Linked DNA regions of Neurospora crassa OR74A. The protein of the gene in region 3 purifies or fractionates together with the protein of the main gene of each other region. This does not show direct contact. Links are inferred from orthologs where the notes say so. Each region holds a gene or a part of one and is shown on either strand. Other genes may lie near its edges. The genes, in order: NCU03876, hsp98, NCU00366, NCU07954, un-10, NCU08046 and NCU05270.

The links.
Region 1: the proteins of NCU00366 (region 3) and NCU03876 purify together in Saccharomyces cerevisiae (affinity purification with western blotting; 13 studies listed by BioGRID, with this or other methods). This does not show direct contact. The link is inferred for Neurospora crassa OR74A from reciprocal best matches to the Saccharomyces cerevisiae genes TIF5 and TIF34.
Region 2: the proteins of NCU00366 (region 3) and hsp98 purify together in Saccharomyces cerevisiae (affinity purification with mass spectrometry; 3 studies listed by BioGRID, with this or other methods). This does not show direct contact. The link is inferred for Neurospora crassa OR74A from reciprocal best matches to the Saccharomyces cerevisiae genes TIF5 and HSP104.
Region 4: the proteins of NCU00366 (region 3) and NCU07954 purify together in Saccharomyces cerevisiae (affinity purification with mass spectrometry; 5 studies listed by BioGRID, with this or other methods). This does not show direct contact. The link is inferred for Neurospora crassa OR74A from reciprocal best matches to the Saccharomyces cerevisiae genes TIF5 and HCR1.
Region 5: the proteins of NCU00366 (region 3) and un-10 purify together in Saccharomyces cerevisiae (affinity purification with western blotting; 16 studies listed by BioGRID, with this or other methods). This does not show direct contact. The link is inferred for Neurospora crassa OR74A from reciprocal best matches to the Saccharomyces cerevisiae genes TIF5 and PRT1.
Region 6: the proteins of NCU00366 (region 3) and NCU08046 purify together in Saccharomyces cerevisiae (affinity purification with mass spectrometry; 4 studies listed by BioGRID). This does not show direct contact. The link is inferred for Neurospora crassa OR74A from reciprocal best matches to the Saccharomyces cerevisiae genes TIF5 and TIF35.
Region 7: the proteins of NCU00366 (region 3) and NCU05270 purify together in Saccharomyces cerevisiae (affinity purification with mass spectrometry, with the first as the bait; 3 studies listed by BioGRID). This does not show direct contact. The link is inferred for Neurospora crassa OR74A from reciprocal best matches to the Saccharomyces cerevisiae genes TIF5 and FUN12.

The regions. Positions count from the first base shown.
Region 1 is NC_026506.1:1,995,036-1,998,798, forward strand, and holds NCU03876 (eukaryotic translation initiation factor 3 subunit 2), read right to left. Parts: upstream 2,546-3,763; 5' UTR 2,284-2,545; coding exon 2,234-2,283; intron 2,107-2,233; coding exon 1,509-2,106; intron 1,377-1,508; coding exon 984-1,376; 3' UTR 501-983; downstream 1-500. Other genes in the region: crf4-1 (chromatin remodelling complex ATPase chain ISW1), read left to right, coding at 1-33; NCU03877 (C-1-tetrahydrofolate synthase), read left to right, coding at 3,589-3,763. UniProt on the Saccharomyces cerevisiae protein: Component of the eukaryotic translation initiation factor 3 (eIF-3) complex, which is involved in protein synthesis of a specialized repertoire of mRNAs and, together with other initiation factors, stimulates binding of mRNA and methionyl-tRNAi to the 40S ribosome.
Region 2 is NC_026503.1:2,635,817-2,640,010, reverse strand, and holds the start of hsp98 (hsp98-like protein), read left to right. Parts: upstream 1-1,394; 5' UTR 1,395-1,889; coding exon 1,890-4,194. UniProt on the Saccharomyces cerevisiae protein: Required, in concert with Hsp40 (YDJ1) and Hsp70 (SSA1) and small Hsps (HSP26), for the dissociation, resolubilization and refolding of aggregates of damaged proteins after heat or other environmental stresses.
Region 3 is NC_026503.1:3,590,780-3,595,037, forward strand, and holds NCU00366 (eukaryotic translation initiation factor 5), read left to right. Parts: upstream 1-1,458; 5' UTR 1,459-2,343; coding exon 2,344-3,621; 3' UTR 3,622-3,960; downstream 3,961-4,258. Other genes in the region: NCU11030 (hypothetical protein), read left to right, coding at 1-131. UniProt on the Saccharomyces cerevisiae protein: Catalyzes the hydrolysis of GTP bound to the 40S ribosomal initiation complex (40S.mRNA.Met-tRNA[F].eIF-2.GTP) with the subsequent joining of a 60S ribosomal subunit resulting in the release of eIF-2 and the guanine nucleotide.
Region 4 is NC_026504.1:1,231,142-1,235,407, reverse strand, and holds the start of NCU07954 (hypothetical protein), read left to right. Parts: upstream 1-1,466; 5' UTR 1,467-1,710; coding exon 1,711-1,729; intron 1,730-2,034; coding exon 2,035-2,824; intron 2,825-2,891; coding exon 2,892-2,907; 3' UTR 2,908-3,994; coding exon of another isoform or gene 3,995-4,266. Other genes in the region: pod-1 (mitochondrion biogenesis protein), read right to left, coding at 3,995-4,266. UniProt on the Saccharomyces cerevisiae protein: Component of the eukaryotic translation initiation factor 3 (eIF-3) complex, which is involved in protein synthesis of a specialized repertoire of mRNAs and, together with other initiation factors, stimulates binding of mRNA and methionyl-tRNAi to the 40S ribosome.
Region 5 is NC_026507.1:3,330,318-3,334,287, reverse strand, and holds the start of un-10 (eukaryotic translation initiation factor 3), read left to right. Parts: upstream 1-1,170; 5' UTR 1,171-1,397; coding exon 1,398-1,669; intron 1,670-1,804; coding exon 1,805-3,347; intron 3,348-3,413; coding exon 3,414-3,842; 3' UTR 3,843-3,970. Other genes in the region: NCU02207 (T-complex protein 1 subunit beta), read right to left, coding at 1-66, 142-144. UniProt on the Saccharomyces cerevisiae protein: RNA-binding component of the eukaryotic translation initiation factor 3 (eIF-3) complex, which is involved in protein synthesis of a specialized repertoire of mRNAs and, together with other initiation factors, stimulates binding of mRNA and methionyl-tRNAi to the 40S ribosome.
Region 6 is NC_026504.1:4,018,414-4,022,203, forward strand, and holds NCU08046 (eukaryotic translation initiation factor 3), read right to left. Parts: upstream 2,656-3,790; 5' UTR 2,586-2,655; coding exon 2,560-2,585; intron 2,504-2,559; coding exon 2,249-2,503; intron 2,093-2,248; coding exon 1,444-2,092; intron 1,240-1,443; coding exon 1,015-1,239; 3' UTR 501-1,014; downstream 1-500. Other genes in the region: NCU08047 (hypothetical protein), read right to left, coding at 3,533-3,790. UniProt on the Saccharomyces cerevisiae protein: RNA-binding component of the eukaryotic translation initiation factor 3 (eIF-3) complex, which is involved in protein synthesis of a specialized repertoire of mRNAs and, together with other initiation factors, stimulates binding of mRNA and methionyl-tRNAi to the 40S ribosome.
Region 7 is NC_026504.1:5,514,373-5,518,474, reverse strand, and holds the start of NCU05270 (mitochondrial translation initiation factor IF-2), read right to left. Parts: upstream 2,801-4,102; 5' UTR 2,513-2,800; coding exon 2,000-2,512; intron 1,905-1,999; coding exon 1,389-1,904; intron 1,315-1,388; coding exon 1-1,314. Other genes in the region: NCU05271 (hypothetical protein), read right to left, coding at 3,665-4,102. UniProt on the Saccharomyces cerevisiae protein: Plays a role in translation initiation. Translational GTPase that catalyzes the joining of the 40S and 60S subunits to form the 80S initiation complex with the initiator methionine-tRNA in the P-site base paired to the start codon.

The DNA.
Region 1 (3,763 bases), on a different chromosome or scaffold from region 3:
GGCAAGGCTGCCCCCAAGGGAAAGAAGAAGTAGACCGCCTGATGGTGGTCCAGACCAAAAATACAAGCTACGGCACATGTATTGACTTGGCTTGGTATTCGAAGCTGTAGTTGCGTTTCATATGACTGGGTTAGATTGGGTGAAGGGGCTCGGTTCACCACTGAGAAGAGTCCAGGGAGGGTTAATGCAGTTGGCTCGCGGCGTTTCCGTTGTGTCGTATTCATGTTGCGGTCTCGGTGATGGTTATCTCACCTGCCGTCATTTAGCGAGGGATTTCTCTGCCTACCTGAGGAACAAAAGATATCCTTTTGGTCAAATCCGTTCTCTGATGGATGAATAGGGCATGATGTGCGCAGTCTTGTACTTCCTTTACCCCTGTATTATTGTTTCCACTTGTGTTGGATTCTTATTGACCATAAGGGAGTGAGTAAGCAATTGGCGAAAGACCTCTACTTATAACGTCCAATCTGATATCACATGAACGAGGTTGCGCAAGATAGTAAGCAGAAGAACGACCGAATTCAACTATGACAAATGACTCTTCTGTGCTTCGATAGGGACCAAAGGTTCCTTTCGTGACAAGATGGAAATTACATATCCGCTCTCCGCGCGACTCACTTGTTCGTTCGTTTGCTTCACATCGAACCGCACCACCTCATCGCTCCAATTTTTGCTCCTTTTCACTTTTTTTTTCACCAAATATTGGGTGGAATCGCCCAAATTCTCAGATTAGGTTGCCTGAAAAAAACGCCGTTTGTGAAATGCCCATTTCCCCCAAATTGTTGGATCCCTGGACGCGCGATGTAAAATAACCCGTTTGCTCATTTCCTTCCTCCGACAAGTCGAGAGAATCCTGAACTCAATAACACGACACCCATATTTCGTCCCGCGAATCGCCTTTCCGCCCCTTTCTGCCGCCCCTCCTCGGATCCTGCTTGCTGAAAGTCCGAAAGTTTCGATCGATGTCGATAGAAGGGATCCGTTTAGGCAGAAATGGTCTGCTGTTGTTGCTGGTTGAGCTTGTTTTGCCTCTCCCTCTCGACCTCGTACATAAAGTCAAAGTAACCCTTGTCGAAGTGATGGATACGGACGTAACCGTCCTCACCACCGCTGGCGTAGCTCTTGCCGGTCGGGTCGGCGGCAACCGTGTTGAGGGGACCGAAGTGACCGCGCACACGACCAATTTCGCTCTCGAAGATCTTGTGGTAGAAACGCGCCTCGAATTTACCCTGACGCGCGGAGGTGGTGGTGACATCCATGGCAGCCTGACCACCACCGAGAATGACGAAGTCCTTCTTGCGAGTGATGGTAGCGCTGTTAAGAGGGGTGTCGGCGGGGTAGGTCTTGAGGACCTCCAGGTCCTTAGCTGTGATGAGCTGTGAAAATAATCAAGGAGTGTTAGCATGCGATTGACTGTTCATTGATTTCGGTTTTAAGGATCCGGGAAGAAGACCAAAGAAAGAAAAAAAAAAGGGGGGGGGGGGGGGTTGTGGAGCCATGTGACATACCTTGGAGGTCTTGTCCTTGGAGGCGGTAATGAAGTATGTACGGTCGTGCGACCACTGGAGATCGGTGATGGGCTGGTTGAGCTCGTGGATGGGGATGTTGTAGAGGAGGTCGCCGTTCTTGCCGTCGAACTGGGAGACGGAGCCGTCTTCGTGGCCGGCAATGATGTACTTGCTGAGATAACTCCAGCCAGCAACAGTGGCCTTGCTGTCCTCGCAAACGATAGTCATGGCCTTCTCATCGCTCTGCTCGGCGTCAACATCGAGCTTGATGTCGAGGACAACGATGGTACCCAGATGACCCATGCGCTTCTCCGTCACACCCAGAAGCTTGCTGCCATCCTCACTGAACTCAACGCGCTTGACGGCGGTAGGGAAGTCCCATGTCTTAAGAAGTCTGCCGGTCTTGATCTCCCAAAGGCGGATGGTGTTGTCGGCAGAACCAGAGGCGAGGATGGTGGATGTGGGGTCGACATCAATGGTCCAGATGGCGCCCTGGTGGCCGTGGTATGTACCGAGACGCTCGCCGTTGTGCGCGAACCAAACGCAAATCTGCTGGTCCTTGGAAACTGAGAAGAGCAAATCACCGTCGCGGTTGTACCTGTTGGGGGTAAAGGGTTGCTGTTAGAGGCTGCATCTCTATATGCCCGACATGCCAAAGCCAGAACACCAAGAGGGGTCGGGTCGGCGGGTAAGGTATGCGATGATGATGCGGAGGGAAGACGAACTTGATCTGGGTGAGGGCACGTTCGTGGCCCGAAAGAAGAATGGGCCTCATCTTGATTGTGGGTTATTAAATATGACGAGGCGTGGACGGCGGTATGGAAGTGTTATGGTCGTTAGAAGACACTGAGTGGATTCGTCGTCGAGAAATATCGCGGGGGGGGGTTGCACGACTTGGGAGGTAGGTGGGTGGATTAGTGTCTTTGTAGATGCGGTCGTCGTCGTCGGATCGGTCTTTGGTGTTCTTTCTTTGGGTGGATTTCCACTCCCAGTAATTTTTCCGCAGATTGTGCGCGATAGGCTGGCTGGCTCTGGCGGATTCTGACGGCCGCGGGGCGAACCAACACCTATCCCTGCAGATGCCAAGCTGCCCCTCTCCAGTCCCTCGTCCCAGCCAGCCGTGTGCCATCCATTGAAGCTGCTGGTTTCAGTTCGGACCGGACTCTGGACCTTGCGATGCAGCCTGCCACCTCGATCCGCCGCTCGCAGCCTGCCGGCCCGTCGACAGCCACCGATAAGAAGTTGTGGCTCAGTCTGTGACTCAGAGTTTAAGAGTCAGCTGTATTCGTCAAGCCTGTGCCGCGGCCGCAAGCCACACCAACTTCAATCTAGAACAACGACACAGACAGGACAGTGCGAGCACATCATGATCCGAGCTGCTACCTGCAGCAAGCCGAGAACTTGTAGAGTCATGGATGCAGCATCTAGACACCCACTTCAATTGCAGTTATATGAATGCCCTCTTCCGGGGGTCGCATCGAGGAGGAAAAGTTCTTCAACTCTCGGAGATTTGTAGACGGAAATAGAGGCTTTTCTAACGAGACATGGTAGGATTCTTGCAAGAATGCATGGTGAATACGTACTATTTTGAGAAGCTTGGGTTTGGGCTCTATTCTATTTAGGTTATCTCATTGGCTTCACGTTTTGTTGTCACATTTACACTGGTCATTTGCGGCACGTCTTGAGACGCTCACCTTCGGTGACTCCTCGAGAAGGGAAAGAAAGAAAAAAAAAAGAAAAAAAAATCACAAATCACGAAACCTCTATTCCCGCCAGCAAACCGGCGATCATTGGATCCTCGACATCGATCCCCCGTCGTCTACCTAGGCGGGAACCCATTGTGACTCTTCTGTGCGGCGCAGAAAACCCCTGGGTCCCGAATCCGTCTGGTCCCACCCCGTCGTGGAGGTGCCCGGGGGCGTCGAGAGAGCTTGGCCGGGCGGAAGTCTTGAGCTTCTGAATATCCCTTACCCCGAGCCTGCGTCCGCTGCTGTTCAGTGTGATGTTGTTACAGCACGCACGCAGAAAGACCACTGCACCCTTCTTCTAGCTCTACAGTACCAGTCTGCGTCGTGTAGGCATGGCCATCTCCAGCTTCATCCAGAGGGTGTCTTCCACGTCAAGGAAGTCGCGTCGAGCCGGAAGCTGTCTCACATCCCTGTCCGCACACGGGTCGCTGAACACACGGCGGCGCATTCAAGTCGAGCATACGGGACAAGACGTGCTCAAAAGATGGACATTGTCGTGGGGCACGG
Region 2 (4,194 bases), about 950 kb from region 3:
GAAACCCACTCTTCCGATAATGGGGAGACGCCAAGCCATCAATTCTCCGCTTTAGATGCAATGGCTGCAGTGGATACTCGTAGCTAAAATAGCCGAGTCCCACTTTTACCCGCTTCTACGTTTGCCGTGCGCGACCCCAGCGTGCCGCCCTAGCGACACTGTCACAGGCCGGCAACTGAAGTGACAACCTGAAGCGGATAATATGCCACATCCATGAAGTTTATATTTCCAGAGGGAACTCCTGCATCGCGATGTTCATCCAAGTCCTGGTGTGATGGAAGAAACAAACCCCAGTCGAGGCCAATGATCTCCAGCTGTATCCAGCGGGCTACTCTCTTTCAGGATTCGGTCCTCATCTACACGATTGTTTTCCTGCGCGGCGAGCCTGGCTGACTTCTCAATCGTCCTGGTAGCCCAGATTGCTGGCAGGGTTAACCGTGCAAGTTAGCTTTCCAGAGATTGTAATGCATATCGGAGTGATATCGCAGCAAAGAAGCTCGCTGTTCAACTGACAAAAGCGTAACTAGAAGGCCACTTGACGTTGGAAGTGGCAGCTTGTGGTTCTGGTCGTGAATGGGTCGAGCCATGGCCTTGCACCCATCAAAGAGGGATTATAAGTCAACTTCTACTGACACAAAAAGAAGCCAAACTAGTATCAAGCATCGAGTTGATCGATTGCCATTCAGACTCCTCAACCAGTGTCTCCGTTCCTGTCCGAGGTTCTCAAGTGGGGAGGTGTTGATGACTACATAGTGGCAAACGAGACGTGGGAGTATTGTGGTATAGAATACCACCGAATGCACCGAATTCATCCATCTCGAAGGAATATGAAGTGTGACCAACCAAACTGGCTCACGTTGGGCGCGCTGGTTAGAGGAATCTCATGATACCCAACCCACCACGATGCGCAACATTACGTATTCGACTATCTCGTCGTAGAAATCACGGATGCGCAAGGAGCTTCCCTTACGCGGTAATCGCCGAAGACCTTACTGCGCCTTCTTGGCCAGACCTGTAGATGGGAAAAGGTATGTATGGTGAGAGAGAGATGCTGGAGTGTGAGGATACCGACATTGTGGTTCGTCCAACTGGGAGAGAACGTCCCTTGTTGTTCATCTGCGCAAACGAAGACAAAGAACAACGGTGAAGGATTATAGTGGAAGGAGAAGACGGAAGTGAAAAGAAGCATTGCAGTAACGTCCAGCTGTTTGGGTCTCGACAATCCTCTCTGGTTGGAGTCAGGTCGATGCAGGTACTGCGATGACGGAGAGACAGTCCGAAAGCGCGGACCCCACTGGAAAGCTTCCATGTGCCCCGCCCTCCAGGTACCCACTTTATACCCCTCAAGCCCGAACAGGAGCCAACAGTATATGGTGACAGGAAGACCGCTGAAGATTCGAGTCGCTTCGTTCTTGCGGGCAGCCTGCTTGCTTGTCACTATGATGTCGTCGCTTCCCGTGCGCCCGCCCGCACAGCTACCTCTACTTGCGACAGGCTGCGAGGACCATCGAGAAGCAGCTAGAGGTAGATACTCATCCCACTTGCTCTTGCACGGCCAGCTCGGGCATCAACTCGCGACTTCTCTCCCCACCAAGGCTCACGAATAAATTCCACTCCTTCTGACCTCTCCCCCCCGTCAGCGATTCTTTGTTTGTTCCCCAGATCAAAACACAAAAGTCTACTAAGAGATACCCCAAACACAATTGTTCTTTTCTTCTCCAAGATATACATCAAGAGTGAAGCCTCACGTCACACTAGCTTCATCTCAACATTTCCGCGATTTTTCTCTTTTGTACATCAACAATAACACATACACACACACCCCCAATCGAAACACAACACCACACAAATTCTGTAGGGACCAACAGAGTCTCGCACACTAATTCATCATGACGTCGAAAATGGAATTTACAGACCGGGCCAAGAAGGCATTGGAGGATGCCATGGCCCTGGCAGAGCAATACGCCCACTCGCAACTCCTCCCCGTTCATCTGGCAGTCGCGCTTCTCGACCCTCTCCCAGATCCGAGCAAGGACCAGCAAAATGCACCAGCCGGGGCAACCAGCTCTCTCTTCCGCCAAGTCATTGAGAGAGCCCACGGCGATCCCCAGCTGTTCGACCGCGCCCTCAAGAAGGCCCTCGTCCGCCTCCCCAGCCAAGACCCTCCTCCCGACCATGTCTCGATGGCTCCTTCCTTCCATACAGTCCTGCGCAAGGCCAACGAGCTGCAGAAGACGCAAAAAGACACATACATTGCCGTCGACCACCTTATCACAGCCCTGGCCGAGGAGCCCTCGATCATGAATGCGCTCAAGGAGGCCAACATTCCCAAGCCAAAGCTCGTTACCGATGCCATCCAGGCCATTCGCGGTACCAAGCGCGTCGACTCTCGCAATGCTGACACTGAAGAGGAGCACGAGAATCTCGCCAAGTTCACCATTGATATGACAGCCATGGCCAGGGAAGGCAAGATTGATCCCGTCATTGGTCGTGAGGAGGAAATTCGGAGAGTGATCCGTATTCTTTCACGTCGTACCAAGAACAACCCTGTCCTTATCGGTGAGCCTGGTGTCGGTAAGACTACCGTCGTTGAGGGTCTCGCTCAGCGCATCGTCAACGCTGATGTGCCCGACAATCTGGCCAACTGCAAGCTTCTGTCTCTTGATGTCGGTGCCCTGGTGGCTGGTAGCAAGTACAGGGGTGAGTTTGAAGAGCGCATGAAGGGAGTTCTGAAGGAGATCTCCGAGTCCAAGGAGATGATCATCCTTTTCATCGATGAAATCCATTTGCTCATGGGCGCTGGCGCGTCCGGAGAAGGTGGCATGGATGCGGCCAACCTTTTGAAGCCAATGCTCGCCCGTGGTCAGCTTCACTGCATTGGCGCTACCACCCTGGCCGAGTACCGCAAGTACATCGAGAAGGATGCTGCCTTTGAACGTCGTTTCCAGCAGGTCATTGTCAAGGAGCCTTCCGTTTCTGAGACAATCTCCATTCTACGTGGTCTCAAGGAGAAGTACGAGGTGCACCATGGTGTCACTATTTCCGATGCTGCCATTGTGGCCGCTGCAAATCTTGCGGCCCGCTACCTCACTTCCCGCAGACTTCCTGATTCGGCTATCGATTTGATCGACGAGGCGGCTGCCGCAGTCAGAGTCGCTCGAGAATCGCAGCCCGAAATCATCGATTCCTTGGAGCGCAAGTTGCGTCAGCTCAAGATTGAGATTCACGCCTTGTCTCGCGAGAAGGATGAGGCTTCCAAGGCTCGTCTTGAACAGGCGAAGAAGGATGCCGAGAATGTGGAGGAGGAGCTCAGACCCCTCCGTGAGAAATACGAACAGGAGAAACAGAGAGCCAAGGCTCTCCAGGAAGCCAGGATGAAGCTTGAGAGCTTGAGACAAAAGGCCGAAGAGGCTAGCAGAATGGGAGATCACAGCCGTGCTGCTGATCTTCAGTATTACGCCATCCCCGAGCAGGAGGCAGTAATCAAGAGGCTTGAGAAGGAAAAGGCTGCGGCTGACGCTGCGCTCAACGCCGCTGCGGCCGAAACCGGCGGTGCCATGATCACCGATGTCGTTGGTCCCGATCAGATCAACGAGATTGTAGCACGGTGGACCGGTATTCCCGTCACACGCCTCAAGACCAGCGAGAAGGAGAAGCTTTTGCACATGGAGAAGCATCTCAGCAAGATTGTTGTCGGTCAGAAGGAGGCCGTTCAGTCTGTGTCCAACGCTATCAGACTGCAGCGGTCGGGTCTCTCCAACCCCAACCAGCCTCCCAGCTTCCTGTTCTGCGGTCCTTCGGGTACCGGTAAGACTCTGCTCACCAAGGCTCTTGCCGAGTTCCTGTTTGATGATCCTAAGGCCATGATCCGTTTCGACATGTCTGAGTATCAGGAGCGTCACTCTCTCAGCCGCATGATTGGTGCTCCTCCCGGCTACGTCGGTCACGACTCTGGTGGCCAGCTGACTGAGGCCCTTCGCCGCAAGCCGTTCTCCATCCTTCTCTTTGACGAGGTTGAAAAGGCAGCCAAGGAGGTCTTGACCGTTCTGCTACAGCTCATGGATGACGGTCGTATCACGGACGGTCAGGGCAGAGTCGTCGATGCCAGGAACTGCATCGTTGTCATGACGTCTAACTTGGGTGCTGAGTACCTTTCTCGTCCCAACGCCAAGGACGGCAAGATTGATCCAACCA
Region 3 (4,258 bases):
ATTCCAAGTTCACTACGGTGCCGGATAAGACGATGACGGAGGAGGACATGGAGATGGAGGACCAGCTTATATCGACAAGGCCGGCTGGGCTAAAGTGTCTGTTGAAGTTTGAACCGATCGGTGGGCAGTAGGTGATGGTACAGGGGTCTTGCGGGATGTGTTTTAGACGGCTTGTATTACAATAGATGTAGCTGTAAGTATAGATGTTTGACAGTCTTGGTGTCTTGCCAAATGGCCACGAAAGGTCATCAAGAGATTTAGACAAGTTGTTTGTTTGCGAGCTATGAAAGTATACATGATACCTGCAGCCAAACAGATGCCCCTGGCTTGAGAATGAGAGACGCAGAGGTGAGAGATGCCGTCCCTGAAAGAAACCGTACACAATACCTAACGACTTAGGTGCATAGTAATTGCCTGTTTGGGGGGGCGCTTTGCCGGATACAGATCTACCTAGATATTGGTGCGGGCTGGTTCTACACTAGCTTGTCGCATGAGTCTAGTGTACATACCTAGAGGTAGTTGACTTGGTTAAGCGTTGATTGATATTGCCGCCTTCCCTTGACAAAACATATCGCGTGTGTTTCGGATTCTTCCCGAATGCCGCCCATTTTTCACATCCCCGTAACTCCGAAGTTTCCCAAGGAGAGAAATTGGCTTTCCCAGACAAGCTGTAATTGTTGTGAGACACCCAGGCACACGGCGGAGAGGGAGACCGTCACTTTCACTTGACCGACAACTACAAAGGCCTCCTCCGCCTGGCTCGGTTACTGAAAGTACAATGAACCAAAGTGGAACTGGTCTCTGGTGTGGATGGATGGACATTGCACAGACACAGGGAACGCCCCCATCTGCGTGGATCTTCTAGTGTATACCGGCTGGTCATCAAAGAGTCCCGCCTTTTCATCCGGCCTTCTGTGTCCAGGTGCCTTCTGGCCACCGTCCGGCGAGTCAGCTTGTTGCAAGAGGCATTCCTTGGGCCGGAACTCGAGCATCGAAAGCAGAGGCGTGGAAACGCCGAGTGGATGAGGGGCAAAATGGCATCAAAATCTTTCAAGTTCCCTAACTTGCCATTCGGAACATACGCCATTGCGCGTCCGTCCTGTTGCTGTGCTGCCCGTTGCAGTGGGCGGGGAGATGGTAAGCAGGTAGGAATGGAACGCGACGGGACCTTCTTCCATTGTCGGTGTCGAAACGAAGTGTGTGAAAGAACGAACTGCACGCAGTACCTGCACGGCAACTGGTGTTGCCTGGCTTGGAGAACGGACACATGTCTCGGGTACTTTGCCCATAGCCCGCTGGTGGTGGTGATTACCTGCCAAACAAGAAGTACCCTAGACTTGCTCTGCCATGAGCCACAGGTACTACACTAGGTAGTGTACAGTACATGGGGGGGCTAGCCAGGGCACCACGAAAATCCTTTGGCCGACAAATCCTCTTGCTTGCTCGTCCAGTGACTGCCCGCCTTGTTGCCCGTGCCCGGTTTGGCTCCATTCTGCAGCACCGATCCACATCCACTTGCTTTCTCGTCCTTTTTTAAAAACTCTTGCTTGCTGCCTCTTTTTTGCCAAACTAACCTCAACTTCATTCTACCCATCAACCGCCATCAGCAGCGACATCGTCCTTGAATCTATCCAAGACCACAAAGGCGACCGGGCTCTCTGTCCATCTGTCCATCAACTCCACCTCCCCCGGATTTCGGGTGCCGCACCACGGAAGTGAAGTGAATCCACTATCCCAGCAGAAACCCACACAAAGTCACTCGACTCCATCCGCTCCGCTCCGTCAAGAAAAGGAAGCCCGCTCGTCACAGAGGGAGAAAAAAAATTTCGCTTGCCTCAAAAGCCATCCTCTCCCGCCCAGCTTTCTGTTCCAGCACCGCCCAGGTTCAGAACAACAACCACCACCAGACCCAACATAAGCATTTTGCGCGACACAGCGTTGTTTATGTATCAGCACGACCAGCACGCCGTCTTCCGACACTCTCCCCCCGTCAAGCTGCATTTTCGCATATCGCGGAAACCCTGTAGCTTCCAACAAAGTACCGACGGTTGAATCGCCATTCCCACGGTCGTCTGCCAGCGTTAATGCCTACCTTCGACTTCGTTAACCACACGGTCTACCCTATGTCAACTCAAAGTACTCGTCAATAACTGACCCCTTTGGCTCGTCTCGCCTCTCGATCTTCCTCACACGCTCTCCGTGCAACAAGAAGCCTCGCTTTCCACGACATCGTCGACCAGTCTACTAGTCTGCCCTCGTTAGGTATCGTCTACCAGACTCCCAACAAACTCCAACAAAACAATACTACAAACATCATCCTGTTTCGCCGTCAATACCGCCAAAATGGGTGCTCTTATCAACGTTCGTCGGGACAACCCCGACCCCTTCTACCGCTACAAGATGGAGCGTATCCAGACCAAGATTGAAGGCAAGGGTAACGGTATCAAGACCGTCGTTGTCAACCTCAGCAGCGTTGCCCAGTCCCTGGCTCGTCCCGGTGGCTATTTGATCAAGTACTTTGGTTTCGAGCTTGGTGCTCAAACCAACATTGATCCTCCTGATGACCGCTGGATCATCAACGGCTCCCACGAGGCCGCCAAGCTCCAGGATCTTCTCGATGGCTTCATTGCCAAGTTTGTCCTCTGCAAGAAGTGCAAGAACCCCGAGACGGTTGTCCAGATCAAGGACGAGAAGATCACTCTCGACTGCAAGGCCTGTGGCCAGCGCAGCAAGGTTGAGCCCCAGCTCAAGCTGACCTCCTTCATCCTCAAGAACGTCCCCAAGAAGAGCAAGAAGGACAAGGCCGAGCGCAAGGCGGCCCGCAAGGCTCGCCAGAACGGCGGCGATAAGGAAGGTTCCGGTGACGAGAACGGTTCCGACCAGGCCTCTCCTGCCATCGAGGATAAGAACATTGAATATGCTAGCGACGATGATGAGCTCACTCGCAAGATCAAGTCTGAGGCTCAGAGCTTGCAGTTGGGCAAGAGAGAGGCTCCCAAGGAGGAGGAGTGGGCTGTCGACATGAGCGAGGAGGCCGTCCGTGCCCGTCAGCAGAACCTTCCTGGCGAATTCAAGCAGAAGCTCGTCCTGAATGGTGAAGAAGACGAGGAGGAGGAGGGTGGAAACACCGTCTACGACCAGCTCGGCACTTGGATCGAGGATGAAGCCAAGGCCAAGGGTGGCATTAACAATGTCGACGATGTCGAGATCTACCTCAAGGCCAAGGAGCTCGGCATTGATGCCAAGCACCGCACCGTCCAGGTTCTTGTTCAGTGTCTTTTTGACGAGAACATTGTTGCTCAGATCCCCAAGCGTGCTCCTATGCTCAAGAGACTCGTTACCTCCGAGCGTCACGAGAAGGCCCTCCTTGGCGGTACCGAGCGTCTCCTTGCCGACCTCGGCAAGGAGTCTTATGACAAGATTGTCAAGATTCTCCAGCTCTACTACCACCACGACCTCTGCTCCGAGGAGGTCATCACCAAGTGGGGTAGCAAGGCTTCCAAGAAGTACGTCGATGGCTCTACTTCCAAGAAGATCCGCAAGGCTGCTGAGCCCTTCCTCACCTGGCTCGCCGAGGCCGAGTCTGAGGAGGAGGAATCTGAGGAGGAGGACGATGAGTAAATCATGTCCCTCGCCACTGAGGATACTACTTCCGTTGCCGCTTGATGCCTAGTCTAGCTTGCTCTTTTGTGTTGTTTTGAGGATGCAAAACCCAGAAGCAGATGGATAAATGCGTGAAAGGGTTGCGATCAGTTTTCTCCACTCACTCTCAGGTCTTGGTTCATGTTTGTCCCATGGTTCGCACTCAAGGGATGTCTTTTCCTGTGTCTGTGTATCGTTATCGGGGCTTTCATGGACGTCATCTAGTTAGTCGTTGAATTGACACGTCACTTATATCTCTACATATTCCAGTATACTGCTCAAGCGATGCCAGAAACATAATGAATGCCTGAATCTCTCTATCCTCCGAGCCGTTGTAGTCCTTTCCCGAAGCGGCTACGAGATATCATCAAGATCAAAGTGCCCGAGACAGTCGGTTCCGGGTGTAGGCGCCTTCATGTCGTTGTCGACGAAACAGTGCCCCATCGAGGTCTACCTACTTCAGCACATCGGGTTCCACTTGCTTGTTAGCTACTCTCTTATGGTCCCAATAATCTCCTCAGCATTATGTGTTATCGACTTGATGTTCGTGAGTGTCATGGACGAGTGCTCACTTTACTGTTAAGATGGCACCACTACGGTAGTACATCACGTTTAA
Region 4 (4,266 bases), on a different chromosome or scaffold from region 3:
CTTTCCTGCCCCCAGTTGCAACTCCTTTCAGGGAAAAATTTGGAATACGAGAGCTGACTGAAAACACCGAGTTTGTCCGTCCCTGGTCTCAAAGGAGCAATAGAGTTCCGACACTGCCCAAGCAATCTCCATTTTTTAACATCAAGACAATCCAGGAACAAGCAAATAGCGGGCGCTAGCGAAAGGAACCCGGAAAGCTCCAGATCTTCAACCAGGACAAAATTTCATTTTGAATCCTCAAAGTGGCAACCGGGCATCGATTGTGGTGGTCAGCTGGATGTCGTTGTTTGGCGGTGTCGGGACCTCCCGGGTGACAAGCCATAGGGCGCAGTTCCACTTCCGCAACATTCTCGGGATTAGCCTTGTACATATCCAGAAGAACAGCGAGCCCCTGAGCAAGTACACTAAGACTGGGGGATTGTGACTCAACACAAAGACAGCCACAGGAGATTTCGAGATCATTGATAGTTGGTTGGTTGGTTGACAGGGCACTTGGGCGAGTTATGTGTTGGAGATTTTGCTGACAGTAATAGCGAGCGGAGGGAAACGGAACACCAGTCGCACTTGTTCTCATAGGACACACAGCATGACTGAGCAATGGCTTGGTTGCTTCCGAACCTGCAAATATACAAACAAATGTCTTGGGCCATAAGTTGCGAATGGCTTCATGTTAAACTTCTAACTTTGCTGTGACGTCAGTGGTAGTTATTCGTAGAGTGTAGGATCGAAGGAACAATTGCAAGTGTCCAAATATTATCCCGTGTCGGAAGCGGGGTGGAAGTGGTGTACAAAATATTGACGACGCAGGGCATTTTCGGGTGACTCCTGGTCCAGAACATTTGGTGAAAGAGCAGAGCTTTAGCATCCACCTAGTTGTTTATGAATCATTCTCTCCACATGCGTTAACAGACTTCTCCAAAAAGCCATCCTTCTAGGCCTGCTGCACCTAGCACATGCTGCTTGACCGAGGCCGTACATATATGGTGCATGCATCGTGCATATACAAGATGTCCTAAAAGATAAGAGAACGAAAAGAAAAGAAAAAGGGAAATAAAGACGGGCATGTTGGCGAACTGATGGTTTTTGTCAGGACTCAGCACCGACCCTGACTGACGGGCCCGTGCGACACAGCACTGACCCCGCATAAAGCCTTCTGGAGGGAAGGCATTGATATATACCAAAGATGGGAAGGAAGTGGTTATTCAGAAGGGATGGTAGCAAGCAAGACGTACGAGGAAGTCAGGTGCTTGGTAAAACATAAACGGGAGGAATAAATGGGGACGATTCCTGTGTATTGAAGACTAGCCGCCCCAGGCGTCTGGAGGTTCTGGTTTTCCTCCTCATCTTCATCGGGCATCTTCTCAATGAAATCCAATTGGTCACAAAGCCCTTTTCCCTGGCAGTTTTGGCATTGTATTAAAATCTTAGACGTTAAAGAACCTTGAAGAACCTGTGAAACGCTGTTGCTGTTTCACTGTTGGTCTTCTAACCCCGCTAACAATACCTAGTTATTTTGCCCACTGCGAACGGAACCACACTCAAGGTGGCTGACCCCTGCTCGCTTTTTCAACTTCTCAAGACTGCGATCGGCTTCTCTTTTGCAGTTTGGACACAACCAACCACAGCACGCAAACTTTTCCTCGTCGCGCCAGACATCGTTGTCGCAAAGACCCGTTCGGTTTTCTAGATCGTCACTACCAAATCGCAAACATGTCTGGAAAGAAGTGGGGTAAGTCTTCCTCGCTCTCCTTGCCTTTTCCCTCTTTGCGCAAGACGAACCCCGCGAACAGTGTATGTCGGCGAAAGTGGGCGGCCGCGATCGCCGTGACAAGGCTGCCTGATGCCTGCGCCGGCTTGCGATAGACGCTGTTAACATTGCCATATGCCTCGAGGCTTCCATGTTTGAGGCGAATTGGACTTCAGCGACGCAGCCTATATATACAGATCAACCAGAACCAACTCTTGCATCGACTTTCCTGTTGCGCCACCACAACCTGTTCGAAACCCAGACTAACTAACCCCTCATCACCACAGACGAGGAAGAGGAGGAGTCTTCCGCCCCCAACTCGCCTGTCCTTGCCCCCGGCCGCCGCCGCTTCGACGATGAGGAGGGAAACGAGAGCGACGTTCTCGACTCGTGGGATGCCGCCGAGGACTCCGAGGTAGAGCGCGAGAAGGCGAAGAAGGCCGCCGAGGCCAAGGCCAAGGCTGAGGCCGAAGCCGCCGCCAACAAGAAGTCCAAGGCGCAGCGCATCGCCGAGCGTCAGGCCGAGCGCGCCCGCCAGCTGGCTGAGGATTCGGACGCGGAGGAGGAGACCGAGGCCGAGCGCCGCGAGCGCCTCCGCCGCGAGCAGAAGGAGTCCGATCTTAAACACGCTGAGGACCTGTTTGCCGGCATCGGCATCAGCAACGACCGCAAGGTCGTCAGCAAGGGCACCATTGTCCAGATCGACCCCAAGGACCCCAACAACACCATCGACATCTCGACCTTGGCCTTGTTCAACCCTACCACCAAGACCCAGTTTGAGACCCTCCGCACCACTCTTGGCCCCATGATCGGCAAGCTCTCGCCCAAGCCGCACTACACCCTCTTCCTCCAGGAGTTCTCCAAGCAGCTCGCCAAGGACCTCAAGAGCGACGAGATCAAGAAGATTGCTAGCACCTTGACTGCTCTCAGCAACGAGAAGCTCAAGGAGGAGAAGGCTGCCGAAAAGGGTGGCAAGAAGAGCAAGGCTGCCAAGACAAAGACCTCGCTCGCTGGTGTTGGTCGTGGTGGTGCCATTGCTGAGGCCCACGACACTTATGATGATGATGCTTTCGGAGAGTAAGTTGGCTTGAGGTGGAGTGAGAAAAGATACGCGTGGGGAACGATTGCTAACGTTTCGCTCTAGTGATGACTTCATGTGAAAGATTTCTACCGATAAATCACAATCGTTCGCTTTGTGAGGAAGAGAGGCCTCGAGTCCCTCTTCCCATCAAGGGATGTAGAATCATCCCCTTCACCAGGTATAATACTCATCTCACCCGGGAAGCATTCGGAGCGAAGCAAAAAAGTAGCGGTTGCGTGTGTTTCATGGCGTAAAAAGAAAGCGTAGACTACCACGACACCCGCGCAACGGTCACGGCACGTCCGCCGTCCGGACGTAAGGTTCAGTGGCATGATGTCTTGGATGGATGCATGAGGGATCAGAGTCGTCATCAGTGCCAGACTGGACGAAAAAAGGAGGATGGCCTCTTGGGGCACTGATCGAGTCGCGACTTGGGGGTGACGGGAAAAGGCAGCAGATACCATATAGCATGGGGGAAAGTAGATTTAGAGTGCATTCAATAATGAAGGCGAGCATCACGTTTCGAAAGTCCAGGCTGCATATCATCCTGGTGTGAGGTTCTCTTATCGATGCCATGGCTAAAATTACAACCAACACTATTTCAGTCACCATCTCAGAACCCTCTCAGAAACTTACACCAGTGAACAGGTGATATTTCCCGACCATGAACACCATGTGAACTTTTCAGACAATGTTGCTGTACCCTAATCAAAACACTTAAAACTCCGATCGCGATGTTGATCTGCCCTGAGCAACCATCATCACTGACAACAAAACCAGGGCACACAAAACACCTCGCCTCCCGCATTCATATGATTCCAGCCAGTAATTCGATCCGTCCGGGTCATTAAGAGCGTAAACCAGTTTCAAATCCCCTCCCTCCTGTTCATAACCATAACCTGCCTGCCTGCCTGCCTGCCTGTCTGTTCCTTCGAGCTCCTGTTTTTCAGAGCCATATAAGTATGTTTGATGTATGTATAGTACAGTGAAATACCGCTTGGAAAGGTATGGTAACCCCCTCACGGTAAAGTAAAGTAGAGAAGAGAGAGAGAAAAAAGGATAGTACAACACAACCCCATATCGTCACAAAACAAGACTTTTCCTCTACCCGCCTGATAAAATACAGGCAAAAGTCTATAATCGTCAGTGTCATATCCAATGACGGCTCACATCAAGTCTCCCGCCACGCCAGCCAGCAACGCATGTACCACGAGACTGACCGTCCACAGTCCCACGCGCTTGAATCTCCTCACCCTACTTTGCTGATCCTCTACGTTTCTGGCAAAAGCACGGTACACCTCGGCGCTCATATCGTCCATCAGCCCACAGTCCCAAACGGTCCAAGCTCCGTCAAAGTCCGTCAGCCGCTTTACGATCCGGCAACTGATGGGGATGTAGGTGCGCTTGGCGTTGATGTAGGCGACGATGGGCCGTACTA
Region 5 (3,970 bases), on a different chromosome or scaffold from region 3:
ACGGGCATTCTCTCCCTTCTCTTCTGTGGTGCCCTCCTCGAAGATCTGGGTGGGGCTAAACGAGGCCTGGAGATGGTCAGGCGGTTGGTTAGTTACGGTGAGCTCGGAAAGATGCCCAAAGTGATGTACAAATCAACTTGCCATGATGTAGAAGAAGCTTAAGTATTAGACAAAAGGTCGGGGATACGGGGTGCACAGGGGGTTGAGGTTGGAAGAGAAGAAGAAGCAATTGAAGCTTGGTAGTACTATATTTTGGGTGGACGTTATGGATACCCTGAACGCGAAGCCTCCTTTCTACAACAATCTGCCAGCAGCGGGACGGATGATGCTCTTCTGAATTCCAGGCACTTTTTGGACGGCAGGCCACGGCAAAATTCCAGAGCTTCCTGTTCCTCCTTTACCTCACCGCCTGCGACAGGTGGCATAAAATGCTTGTCACTCGCATGCCAGGCCGTCTGCCCCTCCTTTGACAGACAAAATGTCCACTTGAGGTGAGTGGGCAGCAGGGGACCCCACTTGGACGTCTTCCGTGGGGAAGGAAGAAAGGGGGGGGGAGGGGAGCTTTGGGCTGGCAGCGGCGGCGGCGGCGGTGGATAGTGGTGGACAGCGCAGCCAGCACTTTGAGAAGCGAGGAGCCCAGGGGACTACCGTCGAGGCTCAAAGCCAAGAGGAAAGGGAACCTGAGTCGGTGCAACGAACGAACCGCAACCTTCAGTCCACTTCTTGACTTCAAAGTGATGGCAACTTGAAACCTGTAAACTCTGCTGAAAGCGGACAGACGTTGCCATGGTCAATATTGGTTCCGTGCACAAACGAACAATGCTTAGCCCACTGCCTGCCGCCATCATTTTGTTAAAAAGAAAGGAAACCGAAAAAGTTGTAGTTGATGAAGAATAGAGACAGCATCGAGAACTTGACTTTCCCAGGCTGAGTGTTCATTGCGACTGTGCAATATCCATGATATCTGAGGCTCCGTCTTCTTTAACCTCCAAACTATCCACCCCATCATTGCATTCACTGACATAAATTCCCATTTTGGCGATTCCAGAGAGAGGGGATCTGGTAGGGTAGCCAATCAACGTGCATTATTGCCTCCTAAAGTGGGGCATTCCCTTCACTGTCTTCCCTGGTTCTCTGGCCGTTCTCACTGAACCCCACCACAATCTGCGCGCTGCGCACAAATTCTCACAATAATCCTGACGACCGCATAAGCCAGCACGTTGTTCCGCCCGCGGCATCGCAGAAAAAATCCGAAGCGGCCAGCCCAGAATCCCGTCATCCACCAAGTCCAACCACCACCACCACCACCAGAGGCGCCTTCCCGACCCGTACATCGCCAGCTACCACTAATCCCCGGCACCCACCAAGCATAACAGACTGCCGATTAATTGCCCAGCATGGCGCCCTCTTTCGACCACCTCCGCGACGAGGACCTCGACGAGGATGACTTCGATGTTGATGAGGTCGACATTTCCGATATCCGCGAGAAGTACGAGGTTCAGCTTGAGCAGGGCTACGATGCCTTTGTCGTTGTCGACGGCCTCCCCGAGGTCAACGAGGAGCAAAAACCCAAGCTCGTCAAGTTCCTGTTGAAGAAGCTCAACACGGTTGGCAAGACCCGGGAGGACCTCATCTTCATGCCCATGGGCGAGGATGGAAAGTCGCTGAGGTATGCAACACAGCCGCCGCCTTCAAAATGATGCGCATCTACAGACCGGCCATCCATCGCCGCGCCCGAACCGCGATGTGTCCCTATGCTGTGCATGTTGGCTCCCCGACCAGGCCACTGATATGAATTCTGTAGGTTCGCCTTTGTCGAGTACTCGTCGCCCGCCGAGGCCGCTGCCGCCTGCAGACAGCTCGACCTCGTCCCCCTCGACAAGAAGCACACCCTCCGCGTCAACAAGCTTACCGATGTCGACCGCTATGGTCGCGAGGGCCGTATCGATGACGAGTACACTCCTCCCAAGATCGAGGAGTTCCAGGAGAAGGAGCACCTCCGCTCCTTCATGGCCGACCCCAGCGGCCGCGGCAGAGATCAGTTTGTCATGTTCAGGGGAGAGTCCGTTGGTGTCTTCTGGAACAACGAGAAGGATACGCCCGAGAATATTGTTGACCGCCAACACTGGACCGAGACCTTTGTGCAGTGGTCGCCCCTCGGTACCTACCTTACCTCCGTCCACGCCCAGGGTGTTCAGCTTTGGGGTGGTCCCTCGTGGACCAGGCAAAGGCGTTTTGCCCATCCTTTTGTCAACCTTGTCGCCTTCTCTCCCAACGAAAAGTACCTTGTCACCTGGTCCAACAGGCCGATTTCGATTCCTGAGGAGGGTCACCCCGCTCTTTCTGTAGAAGACGACGGCAAGAACTACGTTATCTGGGATATCGAGACCTCCAAGCCCCTTCGTTCTTTCGCCCAGCTCGACACCCCCGCCGCCGCCGAGGGCGAGGCTCCCAAGAAGGCCCCCAAGTTCCCCTGGCCCGCCTTCAAGTGGTCTGCCGATGACAAGTACGTCGCCAGGCTGAACCCCGGCCAGTCTATTTCCGTCTACGAGCTTCCGAGGATGAACTTGTTGGACAAGACCGCCATCAAGATCGAGGGCGTTGTGGACTTTGACTGGGCTCCCGCCACCGTGCAGCGCGACGGTGTCAAGTCCTACGAGCAACTTTTCTGCTTCTGGACCCCTGAGATTGGCAGCAACCCCGCCAGAGTCGGCTTGATGAGCATCCCCTCCAAGCAAGTTGTCAGGTCACTGAACCTCTTCAGCGTCTCGGATGCCAAGCTCCACTGGCAGTCCGAGGGTGCTTATCTGTGCGTCAAGGTTGACCGTCACTCCAAGTCCAAAAAGTCTCAGGCTACCACTCTTGAGATTTTCCGTGTCAAGGAGAAGGGAGTCCCTGTGGAAGTTGTCGACACCATCAAGGATACCGTAATAAACTTTGCCTGGGAGCCCAAGGGCGACAGGTTCGTTATCATCACCACCACCGAGCCTGTCGGTGCCACCGCGGTTCCCCCCAAGACGTCGGTCGCTTTCTTCTGCCCTGAGAAGGCCAAGGGCAATGCTGTTGGAAACTTCAAGCACCTCCGCACTCTCGAGAAGAAGAACAGCAATGCCATCTACTGGTCGCCTAAGGGACGCTTTGTGGTCGTTGCCACTGTTGCCAACACTCAGAGCTCTGATCTCGACTTTTACGACCTCGACTTTGAGGGCGAGAAGCCCGAGTCCGACAAGGACCTTACCGCCAACCTTCAGCTTATGAACACCGCTGACCACTACGGTGTCACCGACGTTGAGTGGGACCCCTCGGGTCGCTTCGTTGCCACCTGGGCTTCCGCGTGGAAGCACTCTGTAAGTATCATTGGTATTAAATCAAGATGACGTGCAGCAGAAATCGCTAACGTGAAACAAAAACAGATGGAGAACGGATATCATCTGTATGACTTCAAGGGTGAGCAGCTGCGCGAGGAGGCTATCGAGAAGTTCAAGCAGTTCCAGTGGAGGCCGCGCCCCGCTACCCTCCTTAGCAAGGAGGAGCAGAAGGCCATCCGCCGCAACCTCCGCGAGTACTCGAGGATCTTCGAGCAGGAAGACGCCGAGCGCATCAGCAGCGCCGACGTTGCCGTTGTCGAGGCCCGCCGCCGCCTCCTCGAGGAGTGGTTCGCTTGGCGCGAGGCCATCAGGCAGGAGGTTGCCGAGGAGCGCGAGATCTACGGCCTTCCGGCGGATCCCGTTGCCGACCTCATCAAGGCCAAGACCCCCGAGCTCGCCACCGACCAGGAGGAGCAGGTCATCGAGGAGATCATGGAGGAGGTGTTGGAGGAGACCGAGGAGATCGTTCAGTAAATGTGCGAATAGGCGGCGGCAGTAGTTTGATATGTTGTGAAGTTACATGGCGTACCGTTTTTTCCCCGTTTTTCGAAAAGGTCATCTGAGGGTACAGTGAATAAAATGAACTGGGTTCTTTCATATCT
Region 6 (3,790 bases), on a different chromosome or scaffold from region 3:
GAGGAGGAGAAGGAAAGGCAGGAAGGGAATGATACTGATGGAGAGAGTGATCATGACCGAAGGAGGAGGAGGAGGGGAAAGGCAAGAAGGTCTAGGGATGAGAAGGTGTAGGGGTTATGATGGGCGGGAGGCTATTGTTCTTGTGTGTTCATGGTGTTGTTGCTGAGGTTTCTTTGCGCCGAATGTCCCCCCCCCCCCCCCTTTTTTTTTTTTTTCATTTCATTCTCGAGTGATATTTGTTTCTTATTTCTCTTATAGGCAACCAGCCATTTTTCTTTGTCGACATCTTCCAAGACTTCATGATTTATGAGGGCAGGGCGGAGGGATGAACGACTTTTACGGTGATGAGATGAATGAGACAGGAAGATGAAGAGGATGAAGGGACGTGCCGGCTGCTTTGAGAGAGCTCAGGAACTTACGGTCTTTGCGATTGGTCGGTTGAGTTGATGATAGGACATCATAACAGATTCTGTCACCAAGTAATATAATGTTTGATGCCAGGGACGTTCAGCGGGATAGATAAATGCACTGATAATAATTCAAGAGTTCAGAGAGGCTGTCAGCTGTTTTAAACACTGGCATGCGCCCTGAATCGACAAGAAGACCACACTGTATTCTGAAGAGCTTCGGTGCGTTTTGGGCTCCTGTAGTCCGGGCATGTTGCCAGTCTATTACACCGATCTTGTTCAACCTGGAGTTAGCCCGTCATCCATGTAACAAAAGTCAACTATAACCACCTGGCCACCCTGGCCCGATATGCTTAAAAGGCGGAAGAAATCTCTCGATCATGACAAATTTTGCCGCTTGTTCCCCATTAGTATGAACCCCCACAGCAAGAAGAGACAGGAACCAGATCAAGTAATAGTAGTATCAAAGAGTCCTTTCCCATTTTGATGACGCACTTCCTTGTGCAGACCGCATTAGGGACCAAAACATCGCTGCTTCTTCCATCATTCCTCTAACCCCTTCCTCCCTCTCCTCCGCCTCCTCGTCCGTCTAGAAGACCCATTAAGTTTACGCAGCCTTCTTCGCGAACTCAACCCTAAGGATCAAATGTCTGAAACCGAAACCGTCCATCTTGGCGCAAGCCTTGACAGCGTCGCTGCGATCAGCGAAACTGATGAAGGCGAAGCCCTTGGCAAGACCCGTATCGCGATCCTTGGCAAGGAAGACACGAGTGACGCGACCGAACCGCTCGAACATATCGCGAAGCTCTTGTTCCTCGGCCATCTCGGAGACCTAAGCGTAGAAAACATGTTAGCACGAATCAGTCCCGTCATAATAACCCCTCTTTAGGAGCAGAACAGAGCAGCTTTTGCAAGTCTGTCGCCTACTCCCTCTTTCCCTTTTCCTTCTGCTTCTTCTTCTTCTCCACCACCACCACCACCTCCTCCTCCTCCTCCTCCTCCGCGTCCTTTTGGGGGACACTAGGGGCAAACGTACGTTGGTAACTCTGAGAGTGGCGAGATCGTCGCGCTCGCCGTACTTGCCGCCCATCCTCTCTCCAGCAGCCGCGGCCCCACCGGCACCACGCAGCGCAGGTGGCACGTACGAGCCCTTCTTGCCCGCGCCCGCCGCACCCTGGGAAGCGGCAGCAGCCTCGTCAGCAGCACTGGCGGCGACGTCGGCGGCAGCGCCGGCCTCGCCGATGGGGGCCATGGTGTCCTTGTAGGGACAGCGGGCGGTGAAATGCTCGCCGTTGCAAATACGGCACTTGACCTTCTTGTCCTTCAACTTGTCCTTCATGGCCTGGGCGTTGGGGTCCTTGCTCTCATCCTTGGCTTCCTGGCGCCAGTTGAAGGAAGGCTTGAAGATGATGTTCTCGCCGACCGAGGTGGTGTCGGGGGCCGGGCCGGCGCCGTCCTTGACGCTAAGGCCGAACTTGGTCCACGACTTGCGCTCAGCGACGCGGGGGTTGACGACCTCACGGTGGGTGATGTAGCGGATGCGTCGTGTGGTCTTGACCTTCTGGCCGTTGTCGTTCAGGCGGTACTCGATGATGGTCGTGCTGCCATCCTTGTTGGTGATCTTCTGAGGGGGCGGGAGTTCGGTGGAGGTCTCCTCGAGCTCGTCATCGTCGGCCCAGTCGTGCCTGAATGGTCGCGAACTATGTTAGACTCTTACTCTCCGAGAAATCAAATGCATACGTGTTGGGTTGTGAAGCACGCCGGAAAAATGGCAATCGGGGGAATCGGGGGCGTGGATGCAGACGGGCGTTTGCTGTCGAGGCAAGCGGAGGAGTACTGACTTCTGTTGAACGGCAGCCATCTTGACAGTATGTGGTTGTTTTGATTCCGCAGGTTCGGCTCGTCTGGTGATGGGTGCGGTGGATGACTGAAATGGCCGTGGGTTGTCGTCGCGATGGGTTGACGTTGCGCTGGTTTGGCGGCGATTTTTGGTGGGGCTCAAGTTTGAAAAGCCAGGGCAGTTTTCCCCCCCATTTTTTGGAGGTGGGAATTTTTGGATATTTGAGTGTGGGGCAAAAATTGTCTTGCTGACTCGGCTTTCACTCAGGAAATCAGCCCTGTTTGGCAGCTAACGGTGCTCTATCCTACGTACAATATCAAGGCAGCAGATTCGCACATGACAGCCAATACGGCTCCCTACAAACGAAGCTTCGTTCTTTGACAAAGCAGGACTGGTCGCATCCAGACGTATACGTTGAGGTGTTTTGCCCCTTCTTTCATTATCCGCTTTGGGTTGCTTCCACTTCGCATCCATTAGTGGGGGCATCACAGGCATCACAACCCTAACCCGAACGTTGCTCCTCCAGGCCTACCAGGGGCAGGGCGCGGCGCCGCAACATGGAGCTAGCTCAACTCTCTCGACACCAGGACGTGTTGTACATAGTAGGTACCTTTGTTTGCAAGTTGATGGCTGGCACCGAGGTTAAAGTTTGAGAGTTTGAACTCGATTCAGATTTCTCCAAGCATCCATATCTGATGCTCTAAACTCACTGCTATCTAAGTTGGCCACGGAGCCTGCCGGGCACCAGCTTTCTTCTGACTCTGTGACCCCCCTCCTCCGATTGAGAATCGAAAACCACCCCGCCCTTCATGCCCACCACACTCACCTCCTCAATTAATCACCTACATACACAGTAGGTACCCCAACATTACATAATACAAGGTATATGGCAAAAAAAGACAAATCCCGCACCAAATCGACCTGACAAAGGAGATCGTTCACACGTTACGTTCCGGATGTCGCCGGTGGTATAAATGTACCCTCATCACCTGGGTATCCAGTATCTTGCTTCCTGCATCCTTATTCCATCCATCTAACCGGTATCTTGTTTTTCGACTGAACCCGACCTTGAAAAAAGAGAGACAAAGGAAATGGTGACGGAGTCAATCAGCGGTTCGATGGCGGTTTATCTCTATCAGTTGAATCCCCAGGCGCCCTTTGCTCTGCAAGTATTGTCGCTGACAGATACTCGGAAACTTCAGTGGTCGTGCTTCCTAGACGTCCAGAAATGGCGATGCGTTGAATGATGGTATGGCGCCAGATACGAGTAAATGCAAATCACAGCTCAAGGTGAATATGCTGAGTGACAGACTTGAAGTGACGATTTTCTCGGGATTGGAGGAAGGGCACGATTCGGCGGGGGAGCAGGTGGGGGACCTTCCGCCAGCTGTGTCTTATTCCGTCGCGAACCCAAGCCGCCGTTGGCAACCGACAAAGACCTAAAATGGGGCGCGGGTCTCGAGCCCTGCTTCGAAAGTGAAGTTGAAGATATCTGGGGAAGGTCGCCGAGATCGTCACCGAGGTCACTCAGATCAAGGAAACT
Region 7 (4,102 bases), on a different chromosome or scaffold from region 3:
GGCTCTGATATTGGTTTTGATGACGCCTTCTGTACCACATAGGATAATGCGGTCACCTTCCCTGAGGATACCGTTGGTGAGAATGACATCGATGGTCATACCGAAACCCTCGATGGCCTTGACTTCGAGAACGGTAGCCTGGACCTCGGAGAGGTACATGAGAGAGCCAACCATGCGCTCCTGGGTAAGCTGGACAATGAGCTTCAACATGTCGGGGATACCCTCGCCGGTGTGGGCAGAGGTGGGGACCAAGGAGACGTATTTGGCCATGGACTTGTTCTGGTAGAAGAGCTCCGAGTTGAAACCCTGCTCGGCGAAGGCGAGCTTGGTCTGCTCGAGACGGTTCTTGAACTCGTTCTGGACAGCCTTGTTCTGGAGGGCCAACGACTCCTGGAAGCCGTTGTTCTCGATCTTCTTCCAGCCGTAAAGACGATCGATCTTGTTGAGAGCGACGATGAAGGGCGTCTTCCTCTCACGGAGCAGTCTCATGGACTCGAGAGTCTGGGGTTCGAGACCGTGCATGATATCGACAACCAAGATGGCGATGTTGCAGAGCGAAGAACCACGCGAACGCAAGTTGGAGAAAGACTCGTGACCGGGGGTATCGATGATAAGAAGACCGGGAACCTTGAACTCGAACTTGCCGTCCCTGTTGACGACGTGCGTCTTCTGCTTGATGGCCTCAACGGGGAAGTAAGTGGCACCAATCTGCTGAGTGATACCACCGGCTTCACCCTCCTGGACGTTGGTCTGACGAATCTTGTCGAGCAGCTTCGTCTTACCAGTATCGACGTGACCAAGAATACAGCAAATAGGCGAGCGGAGGTTGTCCGCAGACCTGGCAGCCAGAGCGGCCTGGTGAGCCTTCTCGCGGCGCTCGGCAGCCTCCTTCTTCCTCCGGGCCTCCTCCAGTTCCCTGGCGGTAGCCTCCTCGTCTTCAGAAGATTCCTCTTCAGATTCCTCCTCAGACTCGGACTCGGACTCGGACTCCTCCTTCTTGGCCTGAGTCTTGCCGTTGGCCGCGGCGGGCTTAGAAGCCTCCTTCTTGGTCTCTTCCTTCTTGGTCTCCTCCTCCTCGTCGGAGTCGGCGTCCCAGCTGTCCTTGACATCCTCCTTGTCAGAGGCAACAGCGGCCTCCCAGTCCTCGTCGACGCTGTCCTCAGCGGCGGCCTTGGCGGCCTCAGCCTTGGCAGCAGCCTCCTTCTCGGCCTTCTCGCGCTCGATGCGGGCCTTCTCCTCTTGCTCCTTGACCAGAGCCTCAGCGGCGAGTCTTGCGCGCTCAGCGGCCTCGGCGAGAGCCTTTTCCTCGTCCTTCTGTAGCAAGTAGACACTGGTTAGCGCCGTCCATAGTATACCGTAATTGTAGCAAGAATCCCGGACAGACTCACCTTCTTGTTAGCAGCCCTCTTCTTCTTGTCGTCGTAGACAGGCTTCTTCTTGGACTCTTCACCCTCGAGCGCGTTGACCTTGATACCGGCCGCCAACATCTGCTGCAGCTTCCTCTCGTTGCGGGCCTTCTCCTCCTTCTGGGCCTTGGTCATGAACTTGCCCTCCTTCTTGAGCTGCTCGATCCTCTGCTTCTCCTTCTCCTTCTTGCGGGCGCGCTCCTCCTCCTTGCGCTTGGCCTCCTCGGCAGCGGCGCGCTCCTCCTCCTCTATCCTGGCCTTCTCCTCGGCGAGGAGCCTAGCCTCCTCCTCTTGGCGACGGCGCAGCTCCTCCTGCTGCTTCTGGAGGGCGAGCAGGTGGGCGGGGAGCTTCTTCTTCTTGCCACCGGCGGCGGCTTCGGGGGCGGGAGTGGAAGCGGGGGTCGAGACGGGGCTGGGGGTTTCGGCCTTCTTCTCCTCCTTTGCGGGCTCGGCCTTGGCGGCGGCGGCGGGTGTGGTGCCCTTCTTCTTAGCAGCAGCCTGTTTAGTGAAAAGAAGTTGTTGTTAGTCTTCCGTTTGTGTCTGATGTATGTATAGTCATTAGTGGGTAATAGTGATAATGACTGGGTACTCACCTGCTCCTTCTTGCGCTGCTTCTCACGCTCCTTCTTGAGCTTCTCCTTCTCGGCCTTGGTCAACACCCTAGGGCCATCCTCATCGGCAGCATCCTCGTCCTTCTTGGCGGCGGCGGCGGGAGCAGCCTTCTGTTGCTGCTGCTGCTGCTTGCCCTTGCCACCCTTGCCCTTCTTCTCGGGGAGAGCGAACTCGTCGTCGAGGTTGGCCTCCTCGGCGACCTTGGCCGACAGATCGGGGACGGGCTCGGCGGCAGCGGGCTTCTCGGCGCCGGGAGCGTCTTCGCCCAGCTCAGCCTCCCAGTCGTCGGCAAGACCCTTCTTCTTGCGCTTCTCCTTGGCCTTGCGCATTCTCTCCATCAGACCGCCACCACCGGAAGCGGCCTCGTCGTCGGCGGCAGCGGGAGAGGCGGCAGCAGCATCGGCGCCGTTGTTGTTGACGGGGGCGATGGACTCGCCCAGCTCGGCCTCCCAGTCATCGTTGGCCTTCTTGTTTCCCTTCTTCTTGGGCGCCATGTTGGGCTAACTGGACTGTTGGTAGTCGACCGGGGAATACCTTGAGGCGGGGATGTCGTCGGTAGGATGGGCGGGGGAGAGGATCCTGATGGGCTCTCCTTCTCTCCTTGTGACGAAAGTCGAAGTCCGGGTGAAGACCTCGTTGCTCGCTAGGTGGTTCTGGTGGTGGGTTCGTGGGGCGGCCGACTGGGGCTACTGGGCCGTTATATGCGATATGGCTGGCTGCTAAAGAAGGCAGGCGGCGTACTTTTTTTGGTGCTGTAGGTCCCCCCTTGTCGACGGGATAGGGCTTGTCACTTGTATCACTTTTCGGTGGTGGTGCTGCAGAGTGGATCGATGGTACTGTAGGTACTTGGCACCGTGGATCTTTTTTTTTTCTTTCGTTGTTCTTTGTATCGAATCCCGCTCTGGTTTGTTGCTACACTATATAGAGGTCAGGTACGTACCTATCTCAGTACCTGTACTTACACCGTCTGCCTATGCGCTTTCTTTCAACCCGTATAAAGTGTTTGGTATTGTCTCCGTCTACGGTCAAAAAACGGCAATCATGTCCCGTTCTCTAACTCAATCCCAAGTAGTCGAAGTCGCAAAGTCAAAGGAGTCTCGATTCAGCAGAAAAATCCAGACAAGGATCGCCACTCCAAACTTTTTTTTTTACTTGTGCCGGAGCCAGGAGGTGTCGCTTTGACCAAGCCCTTGACTTGACACTGCACAGACTGTTGGAGACAGCAGTCAAGACAAATACAGTACAGTACAGTGCAGTGGTGAAAAAGAAGTGGAAGCTCCTGCACTCCCGCGTACAAGTACAGTGACCGACTCGTTGGTGCAGAATGCGGGGCACCTGCTTGTTAAGGCACAAGTGGGGCACTTGCTGGGCTAATTTCTGTATTTACTTTCTACCACTTTGGTGTATTTTGTGCGATATTCCATCCAAGGGGGCAGGCCAACTCCCTCACCTTGTCATAATGGGTATTTCATTAACCAGATGTTGCTAGTGATATTCTTTATTCGCTTTTCTATTATGCTGTAGCTACACCACCAAGGCATTCATCAGGACGGCTTGTAGGCCGACACTGGATCACACGTCCGTTTATTACCAGTGTATCTTGCCCTTCCCCCCCCCCCCCCCCCCCGCCTTAGAATTCCAAGCACTTAGTAAACTTGCCTAAGATAATACATCAACACGTTATACGCCAGTTCAAAATACTGGTCCGCAGTGCCCTCGCCCATCCACTCAGCAGTATGTTTGCCTCCATCCAACTTATCCAACAGGCTCTTGAACCGCGCCAACAGCTCCTCCGTGTTGATCAGCTCTTGCAAGACTTCCGCATCCAAGAGTGTCTTCAGCACATCACCATCCACATGCGACGGCTCAGTGGGACCCAGGTTCGGCTCCGCGTGCAGCAGCCTTTCCTCGTCTCTCTTCCCCCTGAGGTTATACAAGTTGACAATGAATCGCAACAGACGCAATGCGTGCTGATCAAGCAGCGTAAAGTGATACATGGTGCCGTCCATGGCTATTCCCAACATCTCGGCATCGTTCGGTGTGCTAATGAGCCGGCCGTACTTGGGTGCGTTCCAGGCTCCTTG